Linked DNA regions of Arabidopsis thaliana. The protein of the gene in region 1 interacts with the protein of each later gene in a biochemical or structural test. Each region holds a gene or a part of one and is shown on either strand. Other genes may lie near its edges.

Region 1 (9,796 bases):
AATTACCAAACAAGATTTTAAGAAACATATAGATCAATCGGGATTCGGAAACCAATACCGAGGATTTCTTTAATTCATTATTTTTTGTGTGAAAATGCTAAACTTTGTCGTTAAATTTATGTACTCTAGGTTCTAGGAAGATTTAGGAAATCTCCTAGGTGACCCAAGTGAAATATCCCTTCCACTTCCCCATTGCAAATCTCATGATTACCATAAACAAATAAGATTAGTAGTAGAGAACTATGCTTGTTAACATAAACATTAATGTAATTATGTAAGATTATATTTTGAACCACTTTGGAAAGTGGAAACCATTTTGGCATCATGGGCCGACTCACCCACCTTAAGAATAAAACTTCGTATTGTTATAGATTTTCAATCACTGATATTTAACAATGGTTTTTTTTTTTTTGCAACAGATGGTTGATGTTAGATGATAGTAAGTTAGTACCATTAAATATAAAACAACATTAATGAATACTTGAAAATTATAAAACTGTGACTATATTATCTATACATAATCTATAAAAAATATTTATTTTTCAAAAGCTCAAACATTGGTTGAGTTGTCTATCATAAATGCATAATCATATACATCTTGAGTCACTCACCGTCGTTTATTGTAGACTTTGTAGATAGTTTTATTTTGTATGTTAAAACGTTTCACCATCGTTTATTCGCATTCCATTAATTTGAAGATTTATTCTGTCATAGTAAAATTCCCTAAACAATAGAAAATGATGTTGTTGAAATAAGTAAGATTTTATTACTAAATAAGACCATAACTCATAAGTGATTTAGATACACTGATCGATCTGTTGGCTACTTTTCTAAGCACCTCACCGTTGAACAAGTCAAAGGAAAAAGAAATGAAAACGTTGTTTTTATGTGTGATTGTGTGTCTAATAAAAGAATATTAATTTTGGAAACATCTTTTAATAGTAACAAATAATTCATTTGTTTTGTCCAATTTAAATTCTCAGTTCTTCGTTCTTTCGCTGACTTTAGCTATCTCTCTCTGTAAAGACTTCGTTTTTTTTTTGTTGCCGTGTGACGACTTCTTCTTCCTCTTCTTCTTCGACCTCTTTCTCTCGGAAGCTTAGCTTCTTAAAATCCATTTCTCTCGGAAGCTTAGCTTCTCAAATCCTCGATCTCTTTTGTATCGTGATTCATTAACCACTTCATGATAATTATAATCTTCCTTCTCTTCTGACGATTGAATTACATCTTCTTCTGATAGCTGTTCTGATTTTTTTCTGTATACAAAGTAAATTCAAAGGTGAGAGTTGTGTCATCTTTTGCTTTTTATATACTTGTTCAATAAGTCAAAGTTCTTTATGTTGCTGTTGGGTTTTAGTTTATTGGAATCAACTTGCGAAATTTGATTACTTTTAGCTTCGAGATCCCTTCTATTACTCACTGGAACTTAGGGTTTGTGTTACTTGGAAAAGAATTTGGATCTGTTGGGTCTAAAGGCCTTCCTCTCTGTTAAGTGGTTTTGTACTTGGGGGAAGCCTTAACTTTGGAAATGCTTGTACTTTGCAGATTAGTTGTTCGATAATATGCTTCAATGGTTTTGATTTTGTGGTTCGGTATATGTTATATGATCATTATCAGTGTTTTATTGGTGTCCTGCAGTGGACAAACATCGGTATTTTAATCTCCTCTCGATAATGAAGTGTTTCTTGTTCTCTGGTGGGGATAAGAGAGGGGAACAGAAGACCCCTATTTCGGTTTCATTGACCTCTATCTTCTCTGACCGCGAAATAAACCGAAGCGGGTCAGAGTTCAACTCTCGTGATGTCTCTGGGACGAGCACAGAATCATCCATGGGGAGGAAGAACTCGTACCCTCCGGTGTCTACTAGAGCAAGTAATCTCAGAGAGTTCAGCATTACTGATCTCAAGTCTGCAACAAAGAACTTTAGCCGATCTGTTATGATTGGAGAAGGCGGTTTCGGTTGTGTCTTCAGGGGCACAGTGAGGAACTTAGAGGACTCGTCAGTTAAAATCGAAGTCGCAGTGAAGCAGCTCGGTAAAAGAGGGTTGCAGGTATGTCTGTTTTTTCCAATCTTGTTCTCAAGATCTGTTACTCATCCACTGGTTTAACACTATTATCTCATTTCTTGGATGTTGCAGGGGCATAAGGAATGGGTTACGGAAGTGAACTTCCTCGGAATAGTTGAGCATACAAACTTGGTGAAATTGCTTGGCTATTGTGCAGAAGATGATGAACGTGGAATCCAACGGCTTTTGGTTTATGAATACATGCCTAACCGAAGTGTTGAATTCCACTTATCCCCTCGGTCACTCACAGTTCTTACTTGGGACCTCAGACTGAGAATCGCCCAAGATGCAGCTCGCGGATTAACATACCTGCATGAAGAAATGGAGTTTCAGGTAATATGATGACTCTGCTACGTTACTGATCTCATTTCACTCTCTTGACTAACTTTTATTTATTGGCTTTTCAGATAATATTCCGCGATTTCAAGTCCTCGAACATTCTTTTGGATGAGGACTGGAAAGCAAAGCTCTCAGATTTCGGTTTGGCTCGTTTAGGTCCATCTGAAGGATTAACCCATGTTTCTACTGATGTAAGTTCTGCATTCACTTCTTTTGGTTGCAAGATTGAAAAACAGGTATGTTTTTGAACGGGTTTCTTTGGCTTTATTAGGTTGTAGGTACAATGGGTTATGCAGCACCTGAATACATTCAAACCGGCCGTCTCACATCGAAAAGCGATGTGTGGGGTTATGGAGTCTTCCTCTATGAGCTTATCACTGGGAGGCGACCGGTGGACAGAAACAGACCCAAGGGAGAGCAGAAGCTTCTAGAATGGGTGAGACCTTATTTATCTGACACAAGGAAGTTCAAGCTCATATTAGATCCAAGGCTGGAAGGGAAGTACCCGATCAAATCGGTTCAAAAGCTAGCAGTTGTGGCCAACAGATGTTTGGTTAGGAACTCAAAGGCACGTCCCAAGATGAGTGAGGTTTTAGAGATGGTGAACAAAATTGTGGAAGCTTCTTCAGGAAATGGCAGCCCACAGCTAGTTCCGCTGAACAGTGTAAAAGCTTCGAGAGACGCGAGAGGAAAGAACAATGGTGGTGGCGGTGAAGGAGGTTGGTTTGGCAAGTTATGGAATCCAAAGACAATAAGAGCTTGTTGACTGCTTATAGAATTCAACCTCTTCTTACAGCAAAAAAAAGAGTCAAGAAAGGTTTCATGGAGATTCCGAAGGTTGAAGATTCTAGCGAGATCAAGATGAAGCTCATATACATACATAAAGATAATTATATATGAAGATTTGTGAAAGATTCTAAAATGATGAAATATGATTTTTGTATGAACTTATGAATAGTAACCACAGCTAAATTAGTAAGATATGTATATTAAGCAAGAACGGCTTATCAGAGTTTTGTTCCAAAGCTGATCAATCTACTCGTGCTTAAGTGTATATTTGTGGTAATGTGTTAAGAGTTCCTATTAATTACCATAAGTAAATCACAAACATAAATAAAATGAAAATAATTATGGGCTTTAAGGTCTGGAGGACTACTGAAATTTGGGAGAAGTAGTTGGAAAAAGAATATTAGTCGATAGGTAGGAAATTGATATTGCTTGTGGAATGGAGGAAAAAATTGAACGAAAAAGAAGTTTCTAGAATTCTAATCACATAACATAAATAGGGTGAATATTTGGGAAAAGTAAAACAATAGGGGTCGGTTTGATATTACTAGAAGATAAGAAACAAAAAGGAAAATAAGAATAAAGGAAAAAAAAAGAGCTCTCTTTTCCAACAAGAAACGTAGAGAGATATAATTAGAGAAAATCTGTGCTCTTTCAGATCCCATTATCACAAATCCATCTCTCTCTCTCTCTCAGAGAAGAAACCAAAGAAGAAGAAAAAGCTCTCAACTTTCTTCGATTTCTCAGGGAACTCTTTCGTTAATCTCAAACTCAATCATGTCTACCCCAGCTGAATCTTCAGACTCGTAAGTACCCAGATCTCTGATTTTGGTTTTCCGATCGGGATTTTTTTCGGATCTTCTTAAAGTCTGGGTTTTTCGATTTTGGGGATTAGGGTTTTGGTTGATCTTGTGTTTCTATAGTTGAATCTTAATCTTCTTTGTTGTTGTTACAGGAAATCGAAGAAAGATTTCAGTACTGCTATTCTCGAGAGGAAGAAGTCTCCGAACCGTCTCGTCGTCGATGAGGCTATCAACGATGATAACTCCGTCGTCTCTCTTCACCCTGCAACCATGGAGAAGCTTCAGCTCTTCCGTGGTGATACCATTCTCATCAAGGTTTGGGTTTGCTTTTGTTTGTTTGGATTCTCTTTTGATTGAGATATTGAATGGTTGGTTTCTGTCTCTATGAAGAGACATAATTTAGGGTTTTTTCTCCTTGCTTGATTAATGGATTCTTATGTGGTTCTACATAAACTAGGGTTTGTGGTCTTTTGAAACAAGTGATTTATGATCTTAGGTATTATACAAAATAAAAAGACTTGCTTTTGTACTGATCCTGTCTTGGTGAATGATTCGTATTAGTAGTCTTTATGAGTTCTTATTTGGTTTGGATTTTGGCTTTCAGGGTAAGAAGAGGAAGGACACTGTCTGCATTGCTCTTGCTGATGAGACATGTGAGGAGCCAAAGATCAGAATGAATAAAGTAGTCAGATCTAACTTGAGGGTTAGACTGGGAGATGTTATATCTGTTCACCAATGCCCAGACGTCAAGTACGGAAAGCGTGTTCACATCCTGCCTGTTGATGATACTGTTGAAGGAGTGACTGGAAACCTATTTGATGCTTACCTGAAACGTAAGTTGCCTTTTTGTTTTAGATCCTTATCCAGTTATGCAATTTTGATTTTTCTTTGGATGTTCTTGTTTGGTTTGAGATATTATTAGAGTGATTTCTTAACAAAGATTGAATTCTTTTCAACAGCTTATTTCCTTGAGGCATACCGTCCAGTGAGGAAGGGTGATCTCTTCCTAGTCAGAGGAGGAATGAGGAGTGTGGAGTTCAAAGTTATAGAGACAGATCCTGCTGAGTACTGCGTGGTTGCTCCAGACACAGAGATTTTCTGTGAGGGTGAGCCTGTGAAGAGAGAGGATGAAGAAAGGCTAGATGATGTAGGTTATGATGATGTTGGTGGTGTCAGGAAACAGATGGCTCAGATTAGGGAACTTGTTGAACTTCCCTTGAGGCATCCACAGCTATTCAAGTCGATTGGTGTTAAGCCACCGAAGGGAATTCTTCTTTATGGACCACCTGGGTCTGGAAAGACTTTGATCGCTCGTGCTGTGGCTAATGAAACGGGTGCCTTTTTCTTCTGTATCAACGGACCTGAGATCATGTCCAAATTGGCTGGTGAGAGTGAGAGCAACCTCAGGAAAGCATTCGAGGAGGCTGAGAAAAATGCGCCTTCAATCATATTCATTGATGAGATCGACTCTATTGCACCGAAAAGAGAGAAGACTAATGGAGAGGTTGAGAGGAGGATTGTCTCTCAGCTCCTTACGCTAATGGATGGACTGAAATCTCGTGCTCATGTTATCGTCATGGGAGCAACCAATCGCCCCAACAGTATCGACCCAGCTTTGAGAAGGTTTGGAAGATTTGACAGGGAGATCGATATTGGAGTTCCTGACGAAATTGGACGTCTTGAAGTTCTGAGGATCCATACAAAGAACATGAAGCTGGCTGAAGATGTAATTTTCTAGTCATAGCTTTTTCTGTGTTTGTTGAGTGTAATGTTTATTGAATGCTAAATTCTTCTTGTGGTTGTTTTCCAGGTGGATCTCGAAAGGATCTCAAAGGACACACACGGTTACGTCGGTGCTGATCTTGCAGCTTTGTGCACAGAGGCCGCCCTGCAATGCATCAGGGAGAAGATGGATGTGATTGATCTGGAAGATGACTCCATAGACGCTGAAATCCTCAATTCCATGGCAGTCACTAATGAACATTTCCACACTGCTCTCGGGAACAGCAACCCATCTGCACTTCGTGAAACTGTGAGTATTGACAGTACTCTGCTTAGAACGAGATCAAAGATTGTATCTTTGCGTAAATCTCATTCCAAATTTTCTTCTTTGCTTTGCAGGTTGTGGAGGTTCCCAACGTCTCTTGGAATGATATTGGAGGTCTTGAGAATGTCAAGAGAGAGCTCCAGGAGGTAAATTGCTAATATTTACTTTTGCTTGGGTCTGTCTATTAATTGTAATTTGTAACCTGAGCCGTGTGATTGTTCAAATGCAGACTGTTCAATACCCAGTCGAGCACCCAGAGAAGTTTGAGAAATTCGGGATGTCTCCATCAAAGGGAGTCCTTTTCTACGGTCCTCCTGGATGTGGGAAAACCCTTTTGGCCAAAGCTATTGCCAACGAGTGCCAAGCTAATTTCATCAGTGTCAAGGGTCCCGAGCTTCTGACAATGTGGTTTGGAGAGAGTGAAGCAAATGTTCGTGAAATCTTCGACAAGGCCCGTCAATCCGCTCCATGTGTTCTTTTCTTTGATGAGCTCGACTCCATTGCAACTCAGAGAGGAGGTGGAAGTGGTGGCGATGGAGGTGGTGCTGCGGACAGAGTCTTGAACCAGCTTTTGACTGAGATGGACGGAATGAATGCCAAGAAAACCGTCTTCATCATCGGAGCTACCAACAGACCTGACATTATCGATTCAGCTCTTCTCCGTCCTGGAAGGCTTGACCAGCTCATTTACATTCCACTACCAGATGAGGATTCCCGTCTCAATATCTTCAAGGCCGCCTTGAGGAAATCTCCTATTGCTAAAGATGTAGACATCGGTGCACTTGCTAAATACACTCAGGGTTTCAGTGGTGCTGATATCACTGAGATTTGCCAGAGAGCTTGCAAGTACGCCATCAGAGAAAACATTGAGAAGGTTAGAGATCCCATCGCCAAGCTCTTTATCCAAAGATTGTTATACTCTCCAATCGTTGAACTGAAGCTCATGTTTTTTTTTTGTTTCAGGACATTGAAAAGGAGAAGAGGAGGAGCGAGAACCCAGAGGCAATGGAGGAAGATGGAGTGGATGAAGTATCAGAGATCAAAGCTGCACACTTTGAGGAGTCGATGAAGTATGCGCGTAGGAGTGTGAGTGATGCAGACATCAGGAAGTACCAAGCCTTTGCTCAGACGTTGCAGCAGTCTAGAGGGTTCGGTTCTGAGTTCAGGTTCGAGAATTCTGCTGGTTCAGGTGCCACCACTGGAGTCGCAGATCCGTTTGCCACGTCTGCAGCCGCTGCTGGGGACGATGATGATCTCTACAATTAGTGATAACTTCTTTATCCTTTTTTTTTTTAAGTTTTAAAACTCGAATTCTCTACTTTTGGATTACTGGGGAAAGTGATACTGATTCTTTCCTCGTGTTTTTAAGTTATCCGAATCTCTTGTGTTTGGGTTTTAATCAATGTTCTTAATTTTCGTTTCAATACTTGTTTGGTCGTTCATTACAAATGGAAAAAATAAAGGATTATAAAGTAAGTTAAAAAGATTGCAAGTGATAAGTAATTGCTTTATAAGTGGTAAGTATCACAAATGTTCCCACTTATCAGCAATTTCCGCATATCAATGTTAATGCTCTAAGATCGGTACTTTCTTTTATAGAATCTTGGAGCCGAGGATGTATTTTTTTTTGCATCAATGGTGGTTAAAGAAGCCAAAAGAAAGGATGCTTTATTATGTCAACAACATTGATGTCAAGATAACAACAAAGCTGCTCCCAAGTCTTAAACATAAATTGAACAAAGGCCACATGTTGAAGATTGAAGATGAACATACTTAAAAACGATATCTTACTGTTCTTGTTCAAACATTGACCGTTAAATACTTCAATGTTTAGCCTTCAGCACCTATTCCACGTGCTCTAGGACGTCTGACAGCGACCAGCGGATTGACTATGCCTTGTGACTCTCTACCCAGACCCGAGCCTTCGACGAAACCCATTCTCGCCATCATCCTCGACCCAAAGCCTGTTGTGTGCTGCTCAAAGGCTCCCAATCTTTTGTCCCTGATTCTTCCTGAACCAGAGGCACCATTGTCATGGGTGATGCGTTTCCCATGTTTCCCGGAGGACGAAGATCTGTTCCGTTTAGCGTTGTTATTGTTATTACTTGACGGACTCGGGTCTTCAGTGTCAATGGAGAAATCCAGACCTAACCCAAGTGATTTCGGACGCTGAACAGCTTCTATTGGCTGTGCTATCCCCTTACCATCCTTTCCTAGACCACCTCCATCTATGAATCCCATTTTAGCCATCATTTTGGATCCAAAACCTCTGGTATGTACCTCAAATGCTCCAATGTCTGCTCCATTAGAGGTTCCCGGAGTAGTTTCAGCTACCTCTTTTGCAACTTTTTCAACTGAGGTTTTTGCAACAGCTATCTCAGAATCGATTATGCCACTTGACACAAATGATACAGGTTGATCAGCATAAGAACTCTTCTTCCCATTGCTTTTGTTTCTCTCCCGTTCCTCTCTAGTAGGTCGCTTTTTAGCTGAGTCTTTTGCTTTTTTCCTATCTAAACTTCCAGATTTCCCTTTTACCCCTCCACTGACAGCAAAATCACAATCCTCATCTCCAGCTCCTATTAGCTTCTCAATGCGAAGTTTATCGCTGGCAGATGGCATACATGTCTGATATGTTCGAGTCACCGTCACAAAGCTTTTCTTTCCAGAACCATTGCAGCTACTTGATAAGCGGTAGACATCTGCTAATCGTCTTACCTGAGAGCAATCTCGATTATGCATACGTTGGAAACAGTGCATGTCCACGTTCTCCAGAACAAAATTCTCTAACTGAGAATTAATATCAGCAAGATCAACACCACGCTGCAGCATTCTCTCACGGCGCTTCAAAGCAATGTATTCTTTGCGGTGTTTCTTGTTCTCACCAGGAAAACTACGGGAATTCTTGCTCTTTGGTGCCCGTGAAGGCCAAGACTGGGGAAACTTAGCCACCTCTTTCTTCTTATTCTTCTTCCCCGAAAGACTTCTTGGATCCTTCACAAACATAAGATCATCCATTGCCAATGGATTAGTAGACTTACCATGCCCCGAGTAGCCACTTCTTGTTGTCTTCTTCTTACCATATTCCATTGAAGCTTTTTGCAGACGAATACCAGTCAACTTTCTCGTTTTTCGATCCGAAGAATCGCTTGAAGAACTATCATCACTCGACAAATCTAATTTATCCAAAGACTGTTCTGCTAACCAATGAGCATCCAACATAATCTCACTGCCACCAATACCTTCCAAGTAATCCTTGGCAACATCATCATCAATCTCGGAATAACTTCCAAACATATCTTCCGAGCTGTCACTCTCAGATAATTCAGAAGATCCACTGCTTCCTTCATCTCCAGATTCATCATCATCATCATCATTCATCTCTTCTTCTCCATCACTCTCTTCACCAGATACATCTTCAGTGTACAACTTCATCCCTCCTATAGAAATGAAACCTGAATTCCTCCTTTTCGGTGTTTTCACAACATCAGGCATCAGTTCATCGTCATTTCCACCAGATTCGTCAACAGCATCACCCTCCTCCTCATGGGAAAATGAACCACCTTGATCTCCCAAAGCCTTTGGAATAGAAAGGCTACCACTTGGTGTAGCATCAGAATCATCACAAAATCCCAATCCTTTATGAGAATCATCACCCAAAACGTAACTCGGTTCGTATTCGTAATCATAACTTACCTTAATCCCTTTCGATGACGAAGGCGTTTGATCCAGAAATGCAACAATTTGAGTCGCCT
Region 2 (7,011 bases), on another chromosome or scaffold:
TTCAACATTTTATGCCATTCTTACTAAAGCGGCTCTGTATCTGTATAGGTCGGTGGGCACGACAGATTAGGAATGCAGATGATCCCTTTGCAAAAGATTAACCCGGGTGAGAGGAAGGAGTTTAATCTTGATCTGATTAAGAACTCAAATGTTGTTATGGATTCTGGAGACAAGAAAAAAAGAGGAAGATTAGAGGTTGATCTCAGGTATGTGCCATTCAGAGAAGAAAGCATTAAGCGTAGAAAAGAGAGCAGAGAAGAGAAATCATCAGAGGACGATGATTTTCTCAGCCAAGCCGGTCTACTCTCGGTTGCAGTCCAATCTGCAAAAGATGTCGAGGGCAAGAAGAAACACTCGAACCCTTATGCTGTTGTTCTCTTCAGAGGAGAAAAGAAGAAAACTAAGGTAAAATTCTAAATCTGCATTTTGCTGAGAAGCTACTTAAGAACTATTTTGAGTTATATTGGCTACCTTTTTCTTGATCAGATGCTGAAGAAAACACGAGACCCTCGATGGAACGAGGAATTCCAGTTTACACTAGAGGAGCCTCCAGTGAAAGAGAGTATACGCGTTGAGGTCATGAGTAAAGGAACCGGCTTTCACTTTCGATCCAAGGTAAAGATCTCATGCCTGTTAAAATCTCTGTTAAAGCAGACAGAGACATTTCAACTTATTATACCTTTGCTTAATCTCTGTATAGGAGGAACTAGGACATGTAGACATAAATCTGGACGATGTAGTTGACAATGGAAGGATCAACCAGAAATACCATCTTATCAATTCCAGAAACGGCATTATTCACATTGAGATCCGTTGGACAACTAGTTAACAAAACTGATAACAATTCTGGCATGAAGTTTTGTTCTAGTATGGCCTTTGTAAAATCTTGCATGTACTTGATCAAAATCATATAATTTTAATAAAATTTCGAAGTACATATTAAATGTTGATGTTTTCTGTACGTACGTATATTGGAGTAAATCTTCTTCTTATGTTTTAGGAATTAGTTAGCGCTACCAATTTCGTCTAGTTGCTTGTATCTACGTGGTCTGGTGATATATTGATTGTTTGTCTTCAATGTAGTTTTTTATGGCCCAAATTGAGGATAAAAGTAGGAAACTAGACTGCATACCAATTTGTCCTTTATTCGACGCTGGTCGCCAGTGTACAAGAGGTACCATGTGTCTATACCGCCATGAGATCAACAGAGGCTTAGATTGTCATGGTCGTTCTGGGTAAGCTATTCTACATACATATATAGATGTATATATATTCTCGAGTCTTTGTTTGTTTGTGTGTTTCATGTATTTTTCTTCACCGCAGGTTAGAAAACCCATTTGTACTCGAGGTGCTTGCAAGAGCTTGTAACACGGGCCCTTTGAAACCACCAGAGGATCAAAGTATTAAAACTCTTTACATCCGTAGACTTATTAACTCCAGTGTCCTCGAGCAGGACATCCGAGACCATTTCTGCCCCTATGGTGAAATCGAATCTATTGTTATCTTCCCCCACCGAGGAGGAGGCACCTGTGCCTTCCTCACTTACACTACCCGTCTAGCTGCTGAGAAGGCCATGCTTGAGCTCTCCTCCTGGACTGACATCAAAGGCCAGAGGGTTAAACTCTTGTGGGGACCTACTGAAAAATGGCAGCACAAAATGACTGGTGCTGCCATTTCTTCAACCCAAGAGGTTGGTTCTTCTAGCTCCAATACTGCTGACTTGGTAACTAAATTAGTACATTCTCTAGAAAAGCTTTAATTAAACCTTTTTGTACCATTAAAAAAGATAAATGTTATTAAACAAGTTTTATATGTCCTTTTTCCTTTTAGAGTACACCACAGAGAATAGAAAATACACACATTCCACCAGTTAACAATTTACAACAACCCCAAAGGCAAACGTGATAAAACAAATAAAAGAAAACAACGCAAACGTTTAAAATTCAAGGTTGAGAAAGGAACGTCGCGTCTGCGTTCTGGTCGCTGCAGTAGAGACAAGGGTGTTGATGAAACCCTAGTCTCTCAAGCACATCCCTTGCCATCATCACTAGTTGCTTGTTCTTCATGGCACCTTCATTTTCGTTCAACACCCTTTGAATCGCGTTGCTAAACGCTCCGTACGCTTTCCCGTTCCCAACGCCGACGTCAGCAGACGTCTCATCCGCCTGACACCCGCTCATCAATATCCCTGAGTCCACGTGTTTTTCACGGGCCGTCATAGTCTCCAAAAGATCCATTAGATCCATTGCCGGTAACCGAAACTTAAGACCAGCATCGCGGCCAAAGAGCTCAAGTAGATGTGTGCCGATGTCGGAAGTTGTAATTCCGGTGAGAGAACTCAAGTGGTCAAGGACTGCCTTGAAGGGCAAGGCACGTGATGTTATAGTCTTGTTCGTTGTCTCAATAGCCGGAGATATGTTGCTGGAGACCGAAGAGGGTCCGATCTGTTCTTTCTCCTTGTCGATGAGACCACCACTATGGCAAGAATCAGAGATCATGGTAAAGCTTGTTCCTTTAGGAAGTTGATTGACCAATTCTCGGAAATCAACATCTGTGATGAGATTGAAATCACAAGGAACAATAGCTTCGTCTTGTTTAAAAGGATGAGCAGATTTAACCGAAGGAATACGAGTTCCATGGCCACTGTAGTGGAAGAACAAGATGTCTCCAGATCCGGCTTGAGCTTTATCCACCATCCTACGTAGAGCAGCCTTGATGTTGGCACCTGTCGGCTTTACCTTTGATTCTGGCTCGTCCGTTAGCACCTCAATGTCGTCTTGTTTGAATCCGAAACGTGACAAAATAGTTTCTTTCATGGCTAGAACATCATTGATGCAACCGTGAAGCTCGTTCCTTGTGTTAGGGTAGTTGCAGCCGACGAGAACGGCTAGTCTTTTCTTGACCATCCCTTGTTGATCCATTGAGTTTCTGGATATGATTTCTTAAGGTTTAAGAGGTAATTTAAACAACTTTCTAGGCAAAATGTTTTGGGGTTTCTTGTGTACGTGTGTTTAGTTTTCATGTGCAGTGTTGTGGTTTTGGAGCTAATGTGTATTTATGATTGAGGTTTCGTGTAGTGAAGTTCAAGTTACATACGATATTAGTATTTATATTTTCAAGTCTAGTTTGCTTTTAAGCTATGGAACATTTTTTAATGGCTTACTCTTGACTTATTAATGCTTTCAAGCAAGAAACTAAACCTTAAATCAGACTTTTGAGAAAGACATAATTAATCCTAAGTCATGGATTCATGATTAATTTGGTTAACTTGGATATATACGTAACTTCAAAAGGGAAGTCATTTTCCCAAATATTTAGACCTAATCCATCTAGCTATCTAAGGGAAGAGAGGAGCTAATTAACTTTAAATGCTATGATATACGAATGTATATAACGTATACATTGTTGAAAATAATGTCAATTGACCAAACTATAATTTGCCTTAATCCTAAAGGACCGTCTATATACTTCGTGCACGCAACGGAAAAGTCTTTTTGAGACGAACCATTTATGCTATTAGCACCATCTTCACTTCACCTACGAGCCTAACTCTTGACTTCATATTTACAAGTTATATCCCCAAAAAAGAAATCAAACTTTCAATGGTAAACTCTTTAACAAAATAAAAAGCATTCAAATTAAAAGATAAAGCTTTTAGTAAACGAAAGACTAATCAGAAATTAAACGTCTTCATCAACTGAGAATTTTTCTTTTTGGTTTTATGTGATAAAAACACATGCTGGATTATGTTTTTAACAAATAAACAAAACTAAATCGATGACCAATACTACAGTCTGTTTATTGCATAAAGTTGTTTATATTCCTATGCATGCATTTATTATCTCTTGGGTAACGGCTTGGAATCATCTCCCAAGTTCCCAACTCGTGATAGATTAAGGAATTGGGGCATGAATATTCTTGAAATTTTTGTCTCCTCTGTAATGCACCTGAATCCAAGAACCACTTGTTTTCTGAATGTACCTACAACAAAGACACATGGGGCATCTTCTTTTGCTCAATTCAGCCCGCCTACAATCTTTGAAGATTGATGTTTCCATGGGACCTCAAAGAAGTAGTGGATGAGGTTTCTAAAGAAAGAAATCGTATAACCAAGTGTTTTGTGGTCCATTGGTTTGTTCGAGTGGATAGAGGATTCGCTATGTGGGTCAAGGCTACGAATCTATTTCTTGACTATAGACGCCTTAAATACAACATACAAGTATTGAGGATTAGTTTGGGTTTCACTCCGGGATTTACTCCGGTTATTACAAAAAAATGTGATCAATATTGTGATAAATACAGGACACATTGATTTTGTTTACTTCACAAACCATAATCTTCATTAATCATTACACAAGTTATATTAACCAAAAAAAAGAAGAAGAAAAAACAGAGCAATTTTACACGAGAAGCATCCAAAACACACCAAGATAACTGGAGAAAACCGGATCTAAACCAAGAACAAAGATTTGGTATCCATCATTGCCTTGGTCTACTCGTCACGCTTAGTTTAGAACTGCCATTGTTGCACAACACCTTTCCCGCGACGTCGTTTTGAACACCAACGCTCTTAACCGGTTGCACTAAACGCTTATCGCCGTTAACCATAACCGCCTTCTCACAATGACAGTTCAACAAACCGGTTCTCTTCTTATCGTAACCACTAAATGCTGTAGACGATGACGACAAGGCAATTCTTGAGAAGTTAGCTGCAACGGCCGAGGCCGGCTCGGCGGTCATAACGCTCCAAGTAACACTTGCTTCGCTTGGCTCGTAACCGTACTCAGACACGGTCTCTTCCATCGAGTCCCGTACTGGTGGAGCCCATGGACGAGCTGCGGTTTGAGTAGAGAAGCTCTCTATCTCAAAAAGATCGGAGCTTGCGTCGCTTGTGGCTTCTTCGTCTATGATGACTCCCTTGGGACTCGTAGGATTCAGAACCGGTTTAATCGGAAGCAGAGCCGGTTCAATTCGTACCGGTTTAATATGATTCAAAACCGGATTCTTGGGATTTTCTGATAATTGTGAAGTTTCGTTTAGAGTTGGGAAGCTAAAATTACTAACTGGAGCTCTAGCTTCTTTGTTTGCAGTGTAATCGATGGACCGAGTCACAGTGTTTGAAGGGATCGTTAATCTTATTGGCTCAGGTGAAGATATCGTCTGATGACTATGAACTATTCGGTTCGAGACGATTCGGTCAGAACCGGTTTTGGGCACTGCGATTCTTGGTTTGGATTCTTGGACCTGAACGGACTTGGAGCTAGAACATGGACAAGCCCTGCGTCTAAAAAACCATCTTGGTCCTTTCTTGCTGCTTCTACGTCCATCTCTGTCCGATCCTTGGCGGTTTTTGTTAGAGAGCAAACCGGTTTGGCTGTTCCAGCTAGCTTCAGAGGATGCCGTTTGTCCCACGGTAAAAGAAGACACTTTTGCAGATGCGACCGAAGAAAATCTTGGACCACTTAGATTCCTCGTCTGGCATCGACTATCGTTGCTTCCGTTTTCGCTAAAGTAACTTCGAGCTTCGAAGATACTTAGCTCAGTATCTTCATTCTCCTTTTGTTGTTGTTCGTTGTTGTCTGGTTTGAGGTAAGAAGAGAAGGAGACATCGATGTCGTTTGATCGATTCTGAAGAATCTTGATGTAAGGATCAAGAGCATCGCGTTTGGTCGCGACTACAGTGACAGTAGTTTGCGCCATTGAAGTATCTTTTGCTTCTTTTTCTCTTTTTCTGGTAGAAGTTGAAAAAACAGAGTTGCAAGTTAGTTCAGTGCTCTGTCTCAAGTCTCTCACTTTGTGTATATATATATATACTCGAGACTTGAGAGAAGTGTTATAAGTTAGTTATGTACGGAACAGTTATATCTACCTCGTTTAGATGTCATCAATACATTCTTTACATGTAAAAAATTTAGGTCTATATAGGTTTCCTTAATTAAATAAACCTTAAAAGTCCTTAGAGATTTTTTTTATATTAATAGAAAAGGTTTGATTTTGTGGAACCCAACTATTCCATTAAAATTCATCATACAAGAAATTTGCAGTCATCATCAACAAATAATAGAATGGATTAGGATTTTGAGATTTTTGGTTTTTGGTTTTTCTTCATATACTTTTCCATAAATCCAAGATATTTGGTGATTTGGTCTATAGTCTCTCTATGAATGTCCAAAGCCAGTTTTGAAGGATTAGTATATCACTTGGAAGTTCAAATTTTGGTCCTTAAGTAAGATTGGAAAAATAAAATAAAATAAGATTTGATTAGAACAAACTCAAAATAGTTATAGCTTCTGAAATGATAACAAATTATTTTGGTTTTCAAGGTTAATTCTTGTTCAAAAGCTAATATACTTTACAGAAGAATGTCGACTTAGTGACTTGTATGATTTACATTTTGTGGATACGCCACAGTTATCATCAAAGAGTTGCTCATGTTTACACTATAAATATTCAAAAATTTCCTAATTATGAAAAGAAATATGAGTTGTATCTATCAAAAAAATCCACATCAATAAAAAAACCCGACCCAAAATAGACTAACCAGTATCCAAATCGTAATCTCAAAGATGAGAGAAGAAACATAAAGTTTTGTTGCACCCTATCCTCAAATCTAGAAACGTGATGGTTTCCCTAGGCCATAGTTGGACCATGTGGCTTCTCCATTATTATGTTCTTCTATATGATGCTTTTAAGCAAGAAGACAAAGATAACTCAAAAGAAGGTGACAAATCTTAATAGTGATTACTTCCTATTCGACAAGAGACAGATCAAAAGAGAGGATAAGAATTATCATTGTAATAATATTGGGTCCATTTTGTTACAATGCATGCTATTTCGACATTTAACGGACAAATGCTCCGAACGTGATTAGGGTTCTTAGGCTGTCAATTATGTGGTGTTTTCTACTTTAACTTCATCAATGTTCAATGTAAGAACTTATTTGGTATATAGACTATAGAGCAATGAGTTGATTGTGTCAAATACTTTGATGTCTCAACCATTTGGCCTAAC

What was found. The genes of interacting proteins can lie anywhere in the genome.
Region 2: of the proteins of CDC48 (region 1) and MC9, one has a biochemical effect on the other in vitro, tested with the Arabidopsis thaliana proteins (one large-scale study listed by BioGRID).

What each region holds. Positions count from the first base shown.
Region 1 is NC_003074.8:3,015,526-3,025,321, forward strand, and holds CDC48 (cell division cycle 48), read left to right. Parts: upstream 1-3,723; 5' UTR 3,724-3,968; coding exon 3,969-3,997; intron 3,998-4,146; coding exon 4,147-4,309; intron 4,310-4,598; coding exon 4,599-4,827; intron 4,828-4,953; coding exon 4,954-5,720; intron 5,721-5,804; coding exon 5,805-6,026; intron 6,027-6,115; coding exon 6,116-6,187; intron 6,188-6,270; coding exon 6,271-6,915; intron 6,916-7,004; coding exon 7,005-7,307; 3' UTR 7,308-7,527; downstream 7,528-9,796. Other genes in the region: AT3G09830 (Protein kinase superfamily protein), read left to right, coding at 1,674-2,051, 2,139-2,399, 2,474-2,596, 2,677-3,171; AT3G09850 (D111/G-patch domain-containing protein), read right to left, coding at 7,872-9,796. UniProt on the Arabidopsis thaliana protein: Probably functions in cell division and growth processes. Interacts with certain SNAREs as part of specialized membrane fusion events where vesicles from the same organelle fuse (homotypic fusion).
Region 2 is NC_003076.8:1,149,803-1,156,813, reverse strand, and holds MC9 (metacaspase 9), read right to left. Parts: upstream 3,075-7,011; 5' UTR 2,922-3,074; coding exon 1,944-2,921; 3' UTR 1,774-1,943; downstream 1-1,773. Other genes in the region: SYTC (Calcium-dependent lipid-binding (CaLB domain) family protein), read left to right, coding at 49-405, 487-615, 701-829; AT5G04210 (CCCH-type zinc fingerfamily protein with RNA-binding domain-containing protein), read left to right, coding at 1,090-1,235, 1,324-1,759; PKS4 (phytochrome kinase substrate 4), read right to left, coding at 4,480-5,700. UniProt on the Arabidopsis thaliana protein: Cysteine protease that cleaves specifically after arginine or lysine residues. Does not cleave caspase-specific substrates. Required for proteolytic processing of GRI.